Linked DNA regions of Ovis aries. The main gene of each other region encodes a partner of the protein of the gene in region 2 in a complex. Links are inferred from orthologs where the notes say so. Each region holds a gene or a part of one and is shown on either strand. Other genes may lie near its edges. The genes, in order: CPLX1, SYT1 and SV2A.

Evidence for each region.
Region 1: the proteins of SYT1 (region 2) and CPLX1 are in contact, whole or in part, in a crystal structure (PDB 5W5C), measured with the Rattus norvegicus proteins. The link is inferred for Ovis aries from reciprocal best matches to the Homo sapiens genes SYT1 and CPLX1. Residues at the interface, in NP_001028852.2 of Rattus norvegicus: Glu271, Thr383, Gly384, Glu386, Thr406, Leu407, Gln408, Glu412, Met416; in NP_074055.1 of Rattus norvegicus: Val61, Met62, Gly65, Asp68, Lys69, Tyr70, Lys74.
Region 3: the proteins of SYT1 (region 2) and SV2A are in contact, whole or in part, in a crystal structure (PDB 4V11), measured with the Homo sapiens proteins. The link is inferred for Ovis aries from reciprocal best matches to the Homo sapiens genes SYT1 and SV2A. Residues at the interface, in NP_001129277.1 of Homo sapiens: Thr291, Lys314, Lys326, Lys327, Lys328, Glu342, Ser343, Phe344, Ser345; in NP_001315603.1 of Homo sapiens: Asp82, Thr84, Glu85, Gly86, His87, Asp88.

Annotation. Positions count from the first base shown.
Region 1 is NC_056059.1:118,208,249-118,213,724, forward strand, and holds part of CPLX1 (complexin-1), read left to right. Parts: intron 1-1,276; coding exon 1,277-1,452; intron 1,453-5,476. UniProt on the Homo sapiens protein: Positively regulates a late step in exocytosis of various cytoplasmic vesicles, such as synaptic vesicles and other secretory vesicles.
Region 2 is NC_056056.1:115,557,010-115,562,485, forward strand, and holds part of SYT1 (synaptotagmin-1), read left to right. Parts: intron 1-2,706; coding exon 2,707-2,913; 3' UTR 2,914-5,476. UniProt on the Homo sapiens protein: Calcium sensor that participates in triggering neurotransmitter release at the synapse. May have a regulatory role in the membrane interactions during trafficking of synaptic vesicles at the active zone of the synapse.
Region 3 is NC_056054.1:100,018,313-100,024,289, reverse strand, and holds the start of SV2A (synaptic vesicle glycoprotein 2A), read left to right. Parts: upstream 1-2,501; 5' UTR 2,502-2,605; intron 2,606-5,977. UniProt on the Homo sapiens protein: Plays a role in the control of regulated secretion in neural and endocrine cells, enhancing selectively low-frequency neurotransmission.

The DNA.
Region 1 (5,476 bases), on a different chromosome or scaffold from region 2:
ACCAACAGTAGCCACACACACAATAGCCCCCACACACAGAGCCACCCCCGACAACACACAACCACACACAGACACACCACTCAACCAACCACACACAGGCAAACAAACACAACCGCATACATACACAACCACAGGCACACACAGAGCCACCAACAGACACACACACAGCCACCCACACACACAGACACACCACACACAGACACACACAGAGACGCACACACAGAGACGCACACAGAGCCACCAACAGTAGCCACACACACAATAGCCCACACACACAGAGCCACCCCCGACAACACACAACCACACACAGACACACCACACAACCAACCACACACAGGCAAACACACACAACCACATACATACACTACCACAGGCACACACAGAGCCACCAACAGACACACACACAGCCACCCACACACACAGACACATCACACACACACCACACACACACCACACACACATAACTACTCACTGGCACATACAACCACCCCATAGGCACACAAACACTATCACACACAACCACAGACACACACATCGAACCCCACAAACCACCATAATCACCTACAGATACACAAACACAACCACACACACAAAACCAGACATGCACACAACCACACACACAACCACCCACAGGTGTACACACATACAACTACATGCAGACACACACAGCACAGAAACACACACAGACAACCGCCCACAGGCACACAAACACAACCACACACACAAAGCCACAGACATGCACACAACCACCCACACCCACACACACACACAACTACATGCAGACACACACAACAACCACACACAGGCACACAAACACAACCACATACACAAAACCACACACACAGCCACAGCCACACACAGCCACCCATAGAAACACACACAACCAGACACACACACACAACCACTCACAGACACACAGCTACCCACAGGCACACACACAACCACCCACAAGCACACAAAGACTATCACACACAACCACAGACACAACCACACACACAAAGCCACAGGCATGCACACAACCACCCATAGACACACAACAACCACACACACACACAACTACACGCAGACACACACAACAACCACACACAGGCACACAAACACAACCACATACCCAAAACCACACACACCACACACAGAACCGCAGCACAGAGGCCCGCAGGAGCCCTCGTGCAGTCGCACCCCGACAGCCCCAGCCTCCTCCGCCCCACACTGGAGGCCGAGGGCGCAGGGCAAGGAGAAGCCGGGCCTGGCCTGACTCCCGCCTTCCTGTGCCCAGGGGCCACCAAGGACATGGGCAAGATGCTCGGGGGCGACGAGGAGAAGGACCCTGACGCCGCCAAGAAGGAGGAGGAGCGGCGCGAGGCGCTGCGCCAGGAGGAGGAGGAGCGCAAGGCCAAGTACGCCAAGATGGAGGCGGAGCGCGAGGCCGTGCGGCAGGGCATCCGCGACAAGGTGGGCGCGGCGGCGGCTCGGCACCGGGGGCCGGGGCCGGGCTGGGGGTGCTGCCTGCGCGAGGGCTGGGCGAAGCCGGGCTGGGCCGCCGCCCGCCCTCCTCCGAGGCTCGCAGAACGGACCTCGCGGAGGGCCCCCCGGGGAGGGGGCGGGCGGGGGAGATCCCGCGTCCCAGCGCGCGCGTCTGCACACGCTCACCGGGCCTGGGGCTCGCCCTGCGGTCCGAGTCCTCCTGGCTCCGGTGGCGGGGGCTGGACCCCTCCTCCCAGGATCCCGGGCTGGCGTGCTGGCTTCTGTAGGACAAGCTCCCGTGGCTGCCCCCAGGACTGCCCCCAGGGACTTGGAGGGCAGGCCCTTCTGGAGAGGAGAGGCAGGGCGGCCAGGGGCTGGCCCACCGGCGGGCTGCAGGTGGGTGAATCGTCCTGGGCTGGAGGATGCCCCTGACCCCGCCCGGGTGGGCCTTAGGCCCCTGAGGTGAATGACAGGGTGTTGGGGGCAGGTCTGTGGCTGTGTGGGCTGGCTGGGGGTGGGCTGGGAGCTCGAGGTCATCTTTCCAGAACCCTCTGGCACCTTCCTCTGTGTGCACGGCATGCGCACACACCCGGCCGGGACCCGAGGCCAGAGCAGGGGCAGACATGGGAGGCTGTCAGCTGCGGGCCCCAGGGGCCTGTCCACTGCCCACCCTCAGGTGCCCACCCAGCTGTGGGTCGGAAGGGCAGGCATGGGGCAGCTGCTCCTGCCTCTTCCAGGGTGGGCCGGCCTGCAGGCCAGGTGGAGAAGCAAGGGCCCTCCCCAGGGCCCCACGATGTCCTGAAGCACGTGGCCTCCCACGGTCCACAGCGTCTTGGGCCTTGAGCACCACTCGGGGGTCCACACGGGCCAGGCCTCTCCACCCAGAGACCTGGGGGGGGGGACTCAGTTTGGGGGTGCTGCCTCTCAATTCTGTCCTGCTCCCCCTGACACTCCCATCTCTGGGCCCTGAGGGAAGTGTTTCCAGACACTGGCTGAAGCCTGTGGGAGGGGACCGGGCATGGGCAGAGGGGTCGTCCAGAGGGCGTCTCCACAGTCCCCAGCCCCTCCCTCCTGCCTGGTTCGCAGGGCCTCTGCGATGCGGACACAGGCGGGCGCCTGCAGGTCTCTGGGCCCACGGGGGCCCCCATGCTGATGGAGGGTGGGGTGCACCCTGGTGTCCCGTCACTGGTCACTGGACACCTTTCTGGGCAGAAAGTTTAAGTTGATTGTGCTGGGGCAGCAGCTGATGAGACCCTCACCCCCAGGACCAACCACAAGACTTTCAGAGCCTTTTGGGGAAGGGCCAGGAAGAGCACACAGACAGCAGAGAGGGAGGCAGCCATGGGCGGGGAGGGGCCAGAAGGCAGAGAGACAGCTCAGGCATTCTGCCTGTAATAGGAAGCCCCTTCTGCCCCTCCCCTCCTCAGACTGTCCAGCGGCCCCATCTCCCTGGGGCTCCAGCCCCAGGGGCGTGGGGACACTGCCCCTCAGGGCTCCCACTGCCCCAGGGCCTTTGCTTGGCTGCTGCGCTCTGGGGCTCCCTGAGGCCCCGCCGCCCTGCCGCCTCTGCGCTCCTCTCCTGCCTTCCTCGCTCCGCACCGGCCTTCATCTGGGAGCATGCCTGCGCACTCGGTTGCGTCCAGCTCCCTGCGATCCCGCCAGGCTCCTCTGTCCGTGGGGTTCTCCAGGCAAGAGTACCAGAGTGGGTTGCCTTTTCCTCCTCCAGGGATCTTCCCGACCCAGGGATCAGCCTCAGTCTCCGGTGTCCTCCTGCTTTGGCAGGCAGACTCTTTACCGCTGAGCCACCTGAGAAGCCCCCCTCCTCTGACACACACTTCTCACTGGGTTGCTGCTCACTGTCCATCCCCTGCAGGGAGGGCAGGGACTCTGACTGCACTTGGCCTTGCATGCTGAGCAAACGAGTGAGTGAGTGAACAGGCATCAGCTCCAGCGTCCTTTTCTTCCTCAGGGAACCGAGTGGCACTCACAAGTCACAAAGTGAGTCCCAGTGAAAATGGAGGGTGTGTCCCCACCCTGCGGGCAGCTCCATGGGAGGCCAGGGGGCAGGGCGACCCTCACCACCCCCACCCTCAGGACCCCAGCTTCCAGGGCGACAGCACGGAAGGCTGCAGCCTTGGGCAGAGCCCCACGGCCCCCTAGCCTGGTGCCCCGGGGGTCGCTTGGACAGTGGTGCTGCTTCCCCAGACGAGCATCACCCCCATCTGGGACCCCCGTGGGTGGGCTGAGTGCCTTTGCTTCTGAACTGCCTCCACAGACCCCAGGCCGCTTCTGGACCCTGGCAGTCCCCAGACCCACCGCGGCTCCATCAGCCACGGTGGACGGTCTCCCTGCTGGGCCCAGGCCTCCTTCCTGGGCACGTCCAGGGTCTGGTCTCACCCGCCCATGGGGCACGATGGTGTCTGCTGAGTTCAGTTGCCTGGGCAGGGGTCAGAGCTGGGCCCCACCCCATGCAGGGGCTGGGGCCGCAGTTTCCTTACCAGCCCAAGCCCAGCTTCTGCGACCAGAGGATGAGGCGGGACGAGGGGGCCAGGGCTTGGTCCTTGGGGGCAGCCTGCAGGGAAGGTGTGGTGTGTTGGGGAGCATGCCGACACACGCAGCTGAGTCTGACAGGTGGGGGCCAGGCCTGTCGGTGTTCAGGGGAGACAGGCTGATGATGAGTGCCCCCATTCATGGGTCGGAGGCAGCTCAGGGTCTGATGCACTCTGGATGTTAGAGCCCCAAAGCCCCAGGTCCTCACAGCCTCAGTGTTGGTCTCCAAGAATTTGGTTACCTCCTTCAAGGAGCCTCCAGCTCAACAGAGAGGAGCCCGCTCTGCCCACAAGACCCTAGAGGTGGACAGCGCGGCTATGGAAGGACAGGCTGCCCCGGCCATCCAGGGTGGGGGTCACCACTGCCCTCTCTCCCCAGACATCCTGACGATGAGCTCTGCGCCTGGAGCCCCCTACCCACCGACGCCGCCCCCCATCACATCCCCTGGCCCTGCCTGGTCCCCCGTGGCTGCAGAGCCCTTCTCAACCTGGCCTTCCAAGGTGACCCCCTCCCGCCCCCCTGCCCCCACAGGTGGGACCCCTGACCTTTTGGAGTGGTTCCCCCAATGGCCCTCGCTGGCCCCCAGGCCCCAGACCCACTTCCTGCAGCCCCTTCCTGCTGTCTGGGGTGGGGTGCCCCATGGGGTGCCCCATGCCCCCACCCCCAACCTCACAACCTGAAATGTATCCAGATATTGCCAAATATCCCCTGGGGTCAAAATTGCTCCAGTTCAGAACCACTGATTTAGAGAAATTTTTGAGGTTTTTGGCCAAGCAATCACTTAGAAAGGAATATAAAAGTATATCCCTAAGACAACTCTACTGGTCAAGGAAGAGAGTGGGGGTCCCTCACGCGGAGGCCGAGGGGTCAGGCCAGGCCGCGTGCCCCGGCTCCCTGGGGGAACCTCATCTGCATCCGGGCTCCTGGCCTCTGCGGGCTGGTGGGTGGTGCCTCCCCCCACCCCATGCCCGCCGGCCCGCGCGTAATGACGTCATGACACACTGCGCGGGTCCAGGTCGGGGGAGACTGGCCGCCTGTGTCATCTGGTCCCTGCTTCCTGGTCTGCGCCCCCGCCTTCTGGTTTACACTGCGGCCATCAGTGACTCTGAGCCAGAACCACCCTCCAGCAAGCGCTGGGCTGGCGAGTCCTGGTCGACCCAGCCCCCCTGGCCCAGGTTTGCGCTGAGAGTAACAGGTGTGGGCACATTGCTGACTCTCACCGTTAGGGAGCACTGCTTTGCCCAGGGCGCTGGCAGCCTGGGCTCCCTCCGGGCCTCAGTGGTACTGTCTCAGTGGTTGAGGAGGATGGAGGGAAGGGGTTGGGCTGGGGGAGCTGGGGGAGGGGTGGGGTTTCAAACAGGCGCTCAGCCAGACCACATCAAAGCCAGGCCCTGGGAGTGACCCCAAAGAGTAAAGTGGCCCTCAGGTCTGCCCAGAGTGGCTTAGGGTCAGAATGGCTTTT
Region 2 (5,476 bases):
GGGAAATTTATTTTACAGTATTTACTTGATGAACTCTTTTTTTTTTTTTTTTTTTTTTTAGTTCTGAGACATTAGTCCTATGGAAATTAACACCTCCTGGCATTTTGTGCTTTAATTCCACAAAACTATTTAAGGCAGGACATTGAAATAAAAAATCCTATTGTAAATCTATTCCTCTGAGCTATACTTCTATACATCAAAAGAAAAAAATACATGTCCCTTTTCAACTATAAATTTCAGCAAATGCAAACGTATTGAAAAATGAAGCACATTAGAAACAAGATGTGTGCTGGGTTTCTGAGGCAGCCTTTCAGAGAAGATAACATTTTGTCAGGACAGAGAGAGCCTGATACAGAGTCCATGAGGCATGAAAAAAATGAGCATGCCTTTGACTGTATCCTGTCTTCTCTGTTCTGTGAGTCAATTTGCTCTTTTTTCTCTTTTTTCCCCCAAGAGGCTGCTTACCTAAGCTTTGCATTTCCCAAGAGAAAATAATTGAGCATTTAACATGCTGTGATAGGGACTTAGGTTTCATTTATCCTGAGGTTATAAGAGTGTCTTTCTGCCCCTATCCACATGAAACAAGAAAGAAACAAAATATACTGATTCCCCCAAATCACAAGAAAATGCAGCAAACCACCCCTCCACTCCCCAAAAATGTATATACTACATACACAGCTGGAAAAACTGACTCAAGTCCCTTATAAGGATATTTTGTCCTGGTTGCTACTAATCAATATATTCCTAGGTGAAACAACCAAAACTCACTCCAACTATTCACTCCAACCTCCAAAACCCTAGTTCCCTTTGTCCACGATGCCCCTAGTGTCTCTGCCCCCATTTGCTGCAATAAAATGGCATCCAGATAAATTCACTTGGGAAAAGTACACAGAACCACCATGATGCTCTTCTTGGTCCCGAATGCCATCCAGTAAATAGGTCATTCTCTTGATAATGGAATCAATCCACGGCTGCACAAAAGGGAAATTTGTTTCCTCTAACTGCCCGTGTGCTACATTCTACATTCTCAATTCCACTCTCAGAAGTGATCTTTTTTCTCTGATCTGAAGCTTTGTGTGGGCGCCTCTCTCAGGACGTTCATACAGAATGCAATCCTCAGACAACAGAGCAGTAAAGGGCCACAGCTGGGCAGGCTCTTCATCTGGCCCTGGCTTCCATCGTTACATTTTCTGCTTCTTTTGACTCTGGCCACCAAATGTTATAAATTCACTTTACTCTAAATTTGTCCTTTATCTTTTCCCTTGGTTTCTAGATCGGAACTGTTGCCTATTTTGACTAAGCAAATCAGTTACTTAGAAAGAACCAAAATGTACTTTTAGAAAATGTTTTTTTCATGTCAAACTGGCATAGATTTTCTTTCACCAGTTCAAAATAGTAAGGCATTAAATACACCATCACAATATTTTTCAGCCATTAAAAAGAAATAATCCCATTTAAAAAGAAGGAAATAATGCCATTTGCAATAACATGGCAGGACCTAGAGTGTCACGCGGAATAAAGTAAGTCACACAGAAAAGGAGAAATATCACACGACATCCCTTCTATGTGGAATCTAAAAAGAACTGATACAAACGAACTTGCCAAACAGAAAGAAACAGAAAACAAACTTAGGGTTTTCAGGGGGAAGGGATAATTAGGGACTTTGGGAAGATCATGAACATACAGCCATATTCAAAATGGATAACCAACAAGGTTATCCTACTGTACAGCACATGGAACTCTGCTCAGTGTTATGTTCCAGCCTGGATGGGAGGGGGGTTTAGAGGAGATGGATACAGGTATATGTATGGCTGAGTGCCTCTGCTGCTCACCTGAAACTATCACAGTATTGTTAATTGGCTATACCCCAGTACAAAATAATAAGTTTAAATCTTGGAAAAAATAAAATAAACCCTCACAACCTAACGGAATCACTTGGAGTAAATCTTGTCAGCCTAAAGGGTTATTTCCATTTGATGTCAACACTGGATACACAGTTACTTCGTTTTTATTGAGAGAATTTATGAATGAGAAAAAAATACCTTTAGTTAATTACTACTTATTGAAGACTTTTACTCTATTGTGACACTTCATACTCACAATAATCATTGATTAGCTGGAATTCTACAGTAGTTTTAAATAAAACTATGCTGGCTCTTCCCACCTGAAATAGGGTTGCAGTATATGGTTGCTTTGAAAACTGTAACCGCCCCCTCCAAGAAAATGATCTGAGTACTAATGTCAGAAATTTTGTTGATAAAACAATAGAAACAAATGGATTTAACAGTGAACACAGGTTGACATGGGCGGCGTGGCATGGTATTTTACAGGATGAACCCCGGAAACCAAACCACTCATTTCTTATATGACTTGAGGCAGGTGATTTAACTCCTCTGAGCTTTAGCATCTTATCTGTATGACAGCAGTTAACAGGATCTAATGTAACTCAGCAGTCCACACGAAAGTCTTAGAACTGTGCCAAAACGGACATCTATTAAGTATTTTGAAGATGCTGCAGATGATGATGATGTGATAATGACAAGAGGGACTGGACTTGTGTTAGGTTCCCAGTCATTTTCAGCCTCGTCCTGGCACTTGCGGATCGGCTCTTCTTAGCTCCCAATTGCTTGGATCTCAAGGAAGCTGGGTGGTAGGACTGTATCTCTAGAGCTGGCTGATTAATGTGTATTTTGTGTCCTCTCTCAGAAAGTGCAAGTGGTGGTAACTGTTTTGGACTATGACAAGATTGGCAAGAACGATGCCATCGGCAAAGTGTTCGTGGGCTACAACAGCACTGGGGCGGAGCTGCGACACTGGTCAGACATGCTGGCCAACCCCCGGCGCCCCATCGCCCAGTGGCACACCCTGCAGGTGGAGGAGGAGGTGGACGCCATGCTGGCAGTCAAGAAGTAAGGGAAGAAGCCTCTCTGTGTTTGCCCACATAGTGCTCTTTAGCCAGTATCTGTAAATACCTCAGTAATATGGGTCCTTTCATTTTTCCAGCCATGCATTCCTAACACAATTCAGTGGTACTTCAAACCCTGTTTTAATTTGCACAAATTTAAATGTAGAGAGCCCCAAAGCCCTTCATCATCCCACTGCCCTCCAAATCTACTCTTCTTTTAAGCAATATGATGTGTAGATAGAGCATGACGGAAATTCTTTATTGTATCACACCGTTGTATATACCAGTATGCTAAAGATTTATTTCTAGTTTGTGTATTTGTATGTTGTAAGTGTTTCCTAATCTGTGTATATCTAGATGTTTTTAATAAGATGTTCTATTTTAAACTATGTAAATTGACTGAGATATAGGAGAGCTGATAATATATTATACGGTAAATAGAGTATCATCTGCATTCCAGCAATCTCAACTTGTAAGGCACTAGTACGGTGAAGCTGACACCTTAAAGGACAACTTAAACCTGAGCTTTCTGTTGAATCATGTGAGCACCAAGATACGCTTGCACCACAAATTTGGTGGGTGAATCCAATTTGGTAGAATTTCTTCACAGGCAAATTAGCATGATCTGAGCAGCACCCAGCCAGCCTGACCTCCAGGCACAAACAGAATAGCATCCGTCTGTGCACATCTACAGAGCTCAAGGCAGAGCTTCACTCTGACATTCGCGGAAGCAACTGACCAGCGGTCAGTGATTCCATGTTACTGCACATAGAGTACCGACATGATGGTGTTCCGTGTGTGTGTGTGTTTGTGTGTGTGTGTGTGTGTGTGTGTACACACCCACATTTGTCTGGGGATGGGAGGGGTGGGAAAGAAGCAGAGGAGAGAAGAAGTCGGCATTTCGAAATGTTGCCTGACTATTCAAGAAGAAAAGTAGCTCTCCGTTCTCAGCTTCACACACCCTGTGCACCCTGTGAATTCTGTCCCAGCTGTCACACCTACAATGACTCCAAAGGTTTGCACATCAGACTCCATAACAGAACATTTTATTATACTGGATTAGAAGGAATGCAGAATATTTTTAACACAGCAGTCTGTGCTTAGGACACAAGATTACTTGGTGGTAAACAGACAGTATTGTAATCCCATCAAAAGAGGAAGGAAATAACTAGCCATAGTTCTGAATGCACCTCCATTAAAGCCAAAACAGACAGTTAGCTAGTGATCTTTTTATATGCTCTTTTTACGTAAATAAGTTTTAATTTGTCCTTTAAAATAAAAAAAGGTGAAACACAACCAAGAATAAGTTCTAGAAAACTGAAGCAACCTCTTATGTATACTAGATGCTTGATTTAGGAGGAGTTTTTAAATGTTTTCAATGTTATTATGTAGTAAACGGCACTATTATGAAGCTACTAGTCATTCCATAAGCGTCTTAAAGGACTGCTCTGTGTAACACTGTGACTGCCGTGTGTGCTTAGACACGTAACGTAGTTTCCTCAGTGGATAGCACTCAGTCTATTCCTTAGTGATATTGTAACAATACTGCCATTCCCTCCTACTGCACTGCCCAAGGTGTGTGTAGCACAAACAGTTCTCATTACAAAGGACCAACTCAGCACCGAAAAGCTATGCATAGGATAAGAACGACAGAAAGCACGAGGTGGATCACACAGCATTTTGTCAAGCACTGTGCAATATACCACATTTATCCCCACTGCAGCAGACCACCACTTCACCGAAGGGCAGCCTCTGATCTCACACTGCATCTAGCCTTTGCTCCCACCAGCCTCTGTGGTTCCTTCTCACTCCCAGGCCAGAGAGAGTAGGAATGCTCTGAAGGGGAAGTCTGTCTTCAAAAATACCAGAACAAAATGGAAGGAAGCTAAGCATTGGCCTCACGTTCAGGCTTTTGGATTTCGTGCCACGGTTCTTAAAACCTCAAAGAGAATTCAAAAAAGCCTAACGGGAAGCGTCAATCGTAGGGCTGGCCGTTTCCTGAGAAAACTAGAATTCCTGTCTAGTTCTTTCCTTATCAAAGCAGAGGCCAGCCCTTTGGCCTTTCAGCCCAGTTGCAGCAGACTCCTCGGGACTGGGATAGACCTGAAGGACGAAGGGAGAATAAGACCTCCCCCTTCTGTGGATGCTCCACACTTTTTTCCAAAAAGTAGACAGTAGAAAATGCACAAGTCCTGATGTCAGATTAAACACCTGCTTTAAAAAAAAAGATTCAAATGAGACTCCTTCCGATTTAAAAGATAAGACCCTACCAAAGCAAGGGAGTTGACTGACTTTTTTAAGTTCCTTGAATATCAGAAATTGACATGAGTTCACTGTATTCAGCTTTAAGTTGTTCGCACCGAAACAAACATTTTGAAACAAGCAGGTTCAAGTTGCCAAGTACAAATCATTTCTTGTATTAAGGCATGAGTAATGTGTTCTCTTGCAACACTGCCAGACATGGGATATTGTCACCATAGAATCAGCTGGTACTACACCACCTGTCACGAGTCAGTGACCGAACCTGCTTCAAGACCGAGATTCATCCTCCAATAAGCCACACGAACCCTT
Region 3 (5,977 bases), on a different chromosome or scaffold from region 2:
ACTTGTTCAGAAGTTTGTTTAAGGATCTGTTAAGTTTGAGATACTTATTAGATATTCATATGATTGAATTGAGAGATGTTGAATTGACAGATGATTTTGTGTTTGGGCTTGGTGGAAAGGTCTGGACCTTTGGAGATAGAAATGTGGGAATTGATATCATAGAGACAGCATTAAGGTCAAGGGTCTACTTGAGGTGATCACAAAGAGAGTAGGTGGAAGCAGAGAAGGGCCCTGAACTCAGCCCCTAGGAAACTTAGTGGACCCAGAAAAGGGGCCCTTGAAGGAGTAGCTGGTGAGGTGCATGGGTCCTTGGTTCTAGGGAGAAATGATAAAGTCTTTCCTCAGAACTTGAAAAATATATCCACCCTTTCCCTCTAAGAGTACAAGATTTCTATTTTAGAAATGGATAAGTAATGGCTAAGTAGAGCATATGCAAAGTCACCTTAAAGAGAAGACATGGCTCCCTGCCAGCGGAACTTGGCTATAACCTAATTGAAAATATTTACATATTTAAATGAAGAATATGTCAACCTGAAGAGAAGTCAGCAGTGAATGCTAGTAACGGGAGAGTCCCTCAGGCCCATATGGGCACAGCCTTTCCAAGAGCCATCCTGGAAAGAGTGCTTCAACCAGCGGAGTTAGAGTAGTCCAGGAGCATTGGCAAGGCTGCCCACAGCGTAGAGATGGGGGGTGGAGAATCGTAGCCAAGAAGAGTTTTCTGAACCCATTGGCACGACTCCTTGCTGGGGATGGCCAGATGCCATTAAAGACACAACTCCTCCTCTTTGGTTATATCAATGTGCATTTATATGTTGACATTATTGTTGACTTGGTTTAAAGGGAGAGAATGTGCTGGACATGCAGACATGAGTTTTCCTTCAGTGTGAGTGACAGTTAAATTTTTCTCTGTAACTTAACACTTACGTATTATGGCTTTCTGTTTTAGTAAATTGTAAACCTTGTTGGCACAAAACAATATTCCAAGATGTAGCTTTGTGAAACTCCAGAGACCCATATCTTTGTCAGTGATAAATTCAGTACCACAAATGCCACCTGTGAGGTTGGGGACACCCAGCTGCCAGCCCTCTCCATGTAACGTATCCTAACATTTTGAAACCTCTGTGCTTAACAGAACAGAACCACACATTATTAAATATAAGAGATCCAATGCAGCATCTACTCTAAGCCCCTCATTTTCCAGCTGAGAAAACTGGGGTTCAGAGAGACAGAGAACTTGACCAAGGGCCCACAGCTTATTGGAAGTGAGAACCCTGGTCAGTGCTCTGTCCAAATAACCCCAGTCCTTACCTCGAATAGGTAGACTTACATTCAGTATGAGCATCTCCAAAGTACCTGCTTCCCTCATCTCTGAAGCAAATATGTTCACCAAGTGGTATGTCTTGGATCTCTAAGCCCAGGTTATTGATACTGAGGCAAAGGAAAGATAAAAGGAAAGAAGTGAAACCAATTCACTTTGTTCTTGCCCTGGAAGCAGAAGTGTGTGTGTGTGTGTGTGTGTGTGTGTGTGTGTGTGTGTGTGTGTGTGTGTGTGTGTTAAGAGAAAGTGGGGAAGAGTACTGCGGGAGATTGTTGTTGGTTTTTTTTTGAGTTATTGTAACAAATACCTAGGGCTTCCCTGGTGGCTCAGTGGTAAAGAATCCATCTGCCAATGAAGGACAGGAGATGAGTGTTGATCCCTGGGGTCAGGAAGATCTTCTGGAAAAGGAAATGGCAACCCACTCCAGTCTTGCCTGGGAAATCCCATGGACAGAGGAGCCTGGCTAGCTAGTCTATGGGGTAGAAAAAGAGTAGGATATGACTTAGGGACTTAACAACAGCAAGAAGGAAATAATTGGCAGGGGAGATGCCCAACTGGTCATGCCCATCAAACCCCTGCAGCTTCTCCAACCTCTGCTGTCACCAGCAGAACGGAGGACAAGGAGGTCTGATTGGAAATAAATAGTCTGGAAAGAGATAACAAGGATCCAGGAGTTTCCTTCTCTGGCAGTTTAGGATAAAAACCACATTTTGTTATTCTTGCTTCCTGTGAAACAGCCAGGTAAACTTGGAGTGTGAGCAGTCCAGATTTGGGAGTTTGGCTAGGAACAGTGAGGAAGGGAAAGGGAGGCGATTTGAAGGCAGAGCGAGTCCCTAACATTTGTGGGTCTTGCCATTCCGGGACTGAGGCTCTGAGGAAGGGGCTGCCTCGTTCACCATCTCCCTTTCTGTCTTCCCACTTGCCTTCTCGACATCAGTATTACTTTCCTTAGATCCTTTAGTCTTTAACTAGGAGGGGCTGGTGTCATCTCCAGCTGCCCCTGTGACAGCCCCTCCAGCTCCCTCACCGCCTCTCCCCAGCCCCGAGTCCCTCCCCATCCTCTTTTTTCTTCCACCCCCCACCCCCCAACAATGGTCTCTCCCGACGCTCACTGGTGCGGGGGGCGGGGGAGGGCGGGGGGAGGGCGGAGGCGGGGCCGGAGCCCGTGGGGGGGCAGGTCTGCATTGCTGCTTCCCTTGGTACCCAGAGCAGACGCCGCTGCCGCCTGCCCCACCGCCGGGACCCCCGCCCTCACCCGGACTCCCTTATCTGGGGGACCCAGCCCAGGTGAGACCCCTCTCTCAGTTTCTCAGCTCCACCCCGCCCCGGGGCAGAAGCATCCTCGCCTTGTCTTGCAGCCATTTTATCTTCCGATGCTTTGCTTGTGGGGAGGGTGACCGTCCCTCATCGGGGGTGACGGGATTGCTGGTGGTTTGAATGGACATTTATGGCGGTTGCTGTGTTGATCAGAGAAGGAAATATATATATTTATACATATATATATGTGTGGAGGAGGGGTGTTTTTCTCTACCTTAACCAAGCTCATACTACTCTCCTCAGATGTTAACGGGGGTGGGGGCTTGTAAGGTGGAATAGGGTTCCCTCAAACTCCAATTCCCAACTCATCTTGCACCCCCCCCTCCACCTCTCCCCCTCGCCCCGCGTGATAGATGACCTTGGCTGGGGCGGGAGAATATATGCTGCCTCAGTCTGTGCACCTGGACTTGGGTTGCGGGTGGTGGGGGGGAGCGGTTGGGTTTGTGGGGTGTGTGGGGGGGGAGGGGGTTGGTGGAGGAAGGGCAGATGAAGGAGGGAAGAAAGGGAATGGTGAACGGAAATGTTGGGTAGATAGAGGTGGTGAACAACCAGGCTTGGGGGTATGGTTGGGGGTGGGGCTGGAGGCAGGCAGTCGCTCTGGGGTCGGGGTCGGGGGAAGGGGTGTTGAGTGCTGATGGGCACTAGTCCAGCAGCAGAATCAAGGGTGAGGGGAGGCGCTGGGAGAATGGGTTCAGTCAGTTCTAGGGGCTCCGCTCTTATACCAGAGTAGGGCAGGATGGAGAGGGTCGCCGCGGATGCTGGCAGGGGCGGTCTCTATGCCTGCGCTCCTGAAGATCTCCCCTTGCATTCTGGTCCCTGCCTCTCCGAATTCCTCCTTGGACATTCTCAGCTGACACCTTGATCTTTTCCCCATCAGAACTGTGGAGACTCCATCTTCCAAACCGTAGGGTAGTATGTAGGCAGGAGTGGTGCAGCCTTGGCTGTCCTGGGGTGGGGATCGAGGCTCAGTTACCCAGCAGAGGTGGGGAGGGGTGCTCCAGCACCTCTCTCCCCCACAACCATGAATGTTTTGATAAGTGATTGCTTCTTAACGACCTTGTCACCTGGGCTAGGGTGGGTTGGGAAATCCAGGTGGCTTCCAAAGTCAGGGGCTTTGATGGAGGTGAGGGGTTCTGGACCTTCCCACCCCACAACCAATCTTGGGCTGAGTTATCCTGAGAGGAAGCCTTTGCTCAGAGTCTCCTGCCTCCCCCCATCCTCTGCAGAAAATCTCTCGGGCATGTTTTCCCATCAGGTGAAGCCAACCGACCTTAAAGAGCCCTGTAACCCTGAATCTTATCTCCTTTAACCTCTACGTCTCTGAGTCTGTCTCCCTCCCACAAGCTTAGCCACCCTGTGCTGCTTTGGGGGCTAAAAATAGCACCACTTTCTCACCAGCTTGAAGAATTTGTCTTCTTTCTCTCCCTCCTGAGCTCCTGGGCTTGTTGGCCCTGGGGGAGCTGGCTGCTGAGCCATCACGTCCTGCTGTGGCTCCGGGGCCCTCTGTGCCCTTCCGGTTCCTCTCAGGGGTGGAGAGTGTAAACAAACACCGAGCGTGGCTCCTGCTGGGCCCATCTGCCTGTGCCAGGGTTTGGGGGGAGAGCCTAACAGGGAAGGAAAGGTGAGGCAAACAAATTGCATGCCAAAAGGGGATTCCACTGTTCCCTCTCTCCAATGGGGGATGGTTTGGGCCTTGAACCACAAGGAAAGAAGGTGACATAGGGGTCACTGGTTCTGGTCATCGTGGTCCACTGCTCACATCTGACCTGAGGGGGTAGGGCTCTGCTTTGCCAGTGCTTCTTTCTAAACTACATAGCATTACTTACTCCTTCTGCCTGGGCCACTGTGTGTGTGTGTGTGTGTGTGTGTGTGTGTGTGTGTGTGTGTGTGTGTATAAGTGTATGTGTGACATTTAATGAAGGCCCTGGATGGGTTGGAACAGAATGAAGCAGGATATTTTTAGGGTAATGATCTCTGATCAGAATCTAGTCCTGCTTCCTCTGCTTCTATAAAGGAAGAGGGGCTTCTCCCATGCTTGCCTCTGGAGGATGTCTTTTGTGGGGGAGGGGAGGTCCAAGCCCCCTTCATTCTATATGAGCTCCTACGCAATGCGGTATTTATGGACTCCCTTTTCCTTGACTCTTGGAGGAGGAGCAGAAAGGATTAAGGGGGATTAGAAAGGGAGGCCATGGAGGAAGGAGGTACAACCATAGACCTTAGATGCCCATGTTGGAAATGTATGTGTTTGATTTTCCACCCCTACCCCCACCGGTGAAAGGGGGCCCATTTATGACATCCTGAAGGAAGGTGGCAAGCCAGTCGTTACCTCTTTTTTAGATTTTGGTCTGCCCCTTTTTCCCCATGACCTCAGATTCCAGGTCTCCCTTTTTGTGAGTCTTCCATTGTTTGTCTGGAGCAGACAGTATGGGTCCAGCTGCTGGCATTTGTTTGAACACAGAGGGGTTTTGGGGATTCTGTATTGGGAGGTTACAACAGCATCCAAATGTGACCCCCCCCCTGCTTTGCCCTTGCTGCTTCTTTCACAGTTTTTAATCTAGTAGGAAGGAAAGAAACTAATAGAAGGTCTGCTGTGAGATTAAATTATCACATCCACCTGGAGAAATAGAGATTATTATCCCCAGTTTAAATATAAGGACTCTGAGGTTTAGAGATGTTCAGGAACCTGCTCAAGATCAGTTAGTAAATGGCAGAGCTGGAATTTCAACTTATGTCATCTGATTGTCATGCGCTGTGCACTGAACCAGCTCTCTCCTTGCCAGTATCCCTTTCTGCCATTCACCCTAAAGAGCATCCACAGGTGGCTTTCGTTCTAACGTCTTGTGAGGGAGTGGAGGTCATCTTACCACATTACTATCACCACAAAGAGTAATAACTAATATTTATTCATCAGTTGTTATGTGCCAGGCACTATGGTAAAGAGCTTATACTCATTATGTCATTTAATCCTTACTTCCCCCTCTTTAATGAGAGGGAACTAAGGCTTTGAGGATCAGAGACATGCTCATGGTCACTTAGTAAGCTGTTGAAGCAGGAAGTCAAATCTAAGTCTGTCTGATTCTGGAAGCTGAGCTTTCACCCACTGAGCTATGTTGGGAGAAGACTCTTCTTTGTGAAGCCTACAAACATGGAACCTGAGGAAGGACCATAAAGCCCCATATTCAGATGCCATCAGTGGTCTGAAGGCAACAGGTTGAAGGATTCAGTTGTCCTTCTATACGTTCCCTGCAAGCTCTGCTCCCAGTAAGAAACCCAGACCAGACTAGAGAAGGGAGTTTTGGTTTCTCCATTTCCTGTTTTATCTTTGGCAGGTGGGTGGTAAAG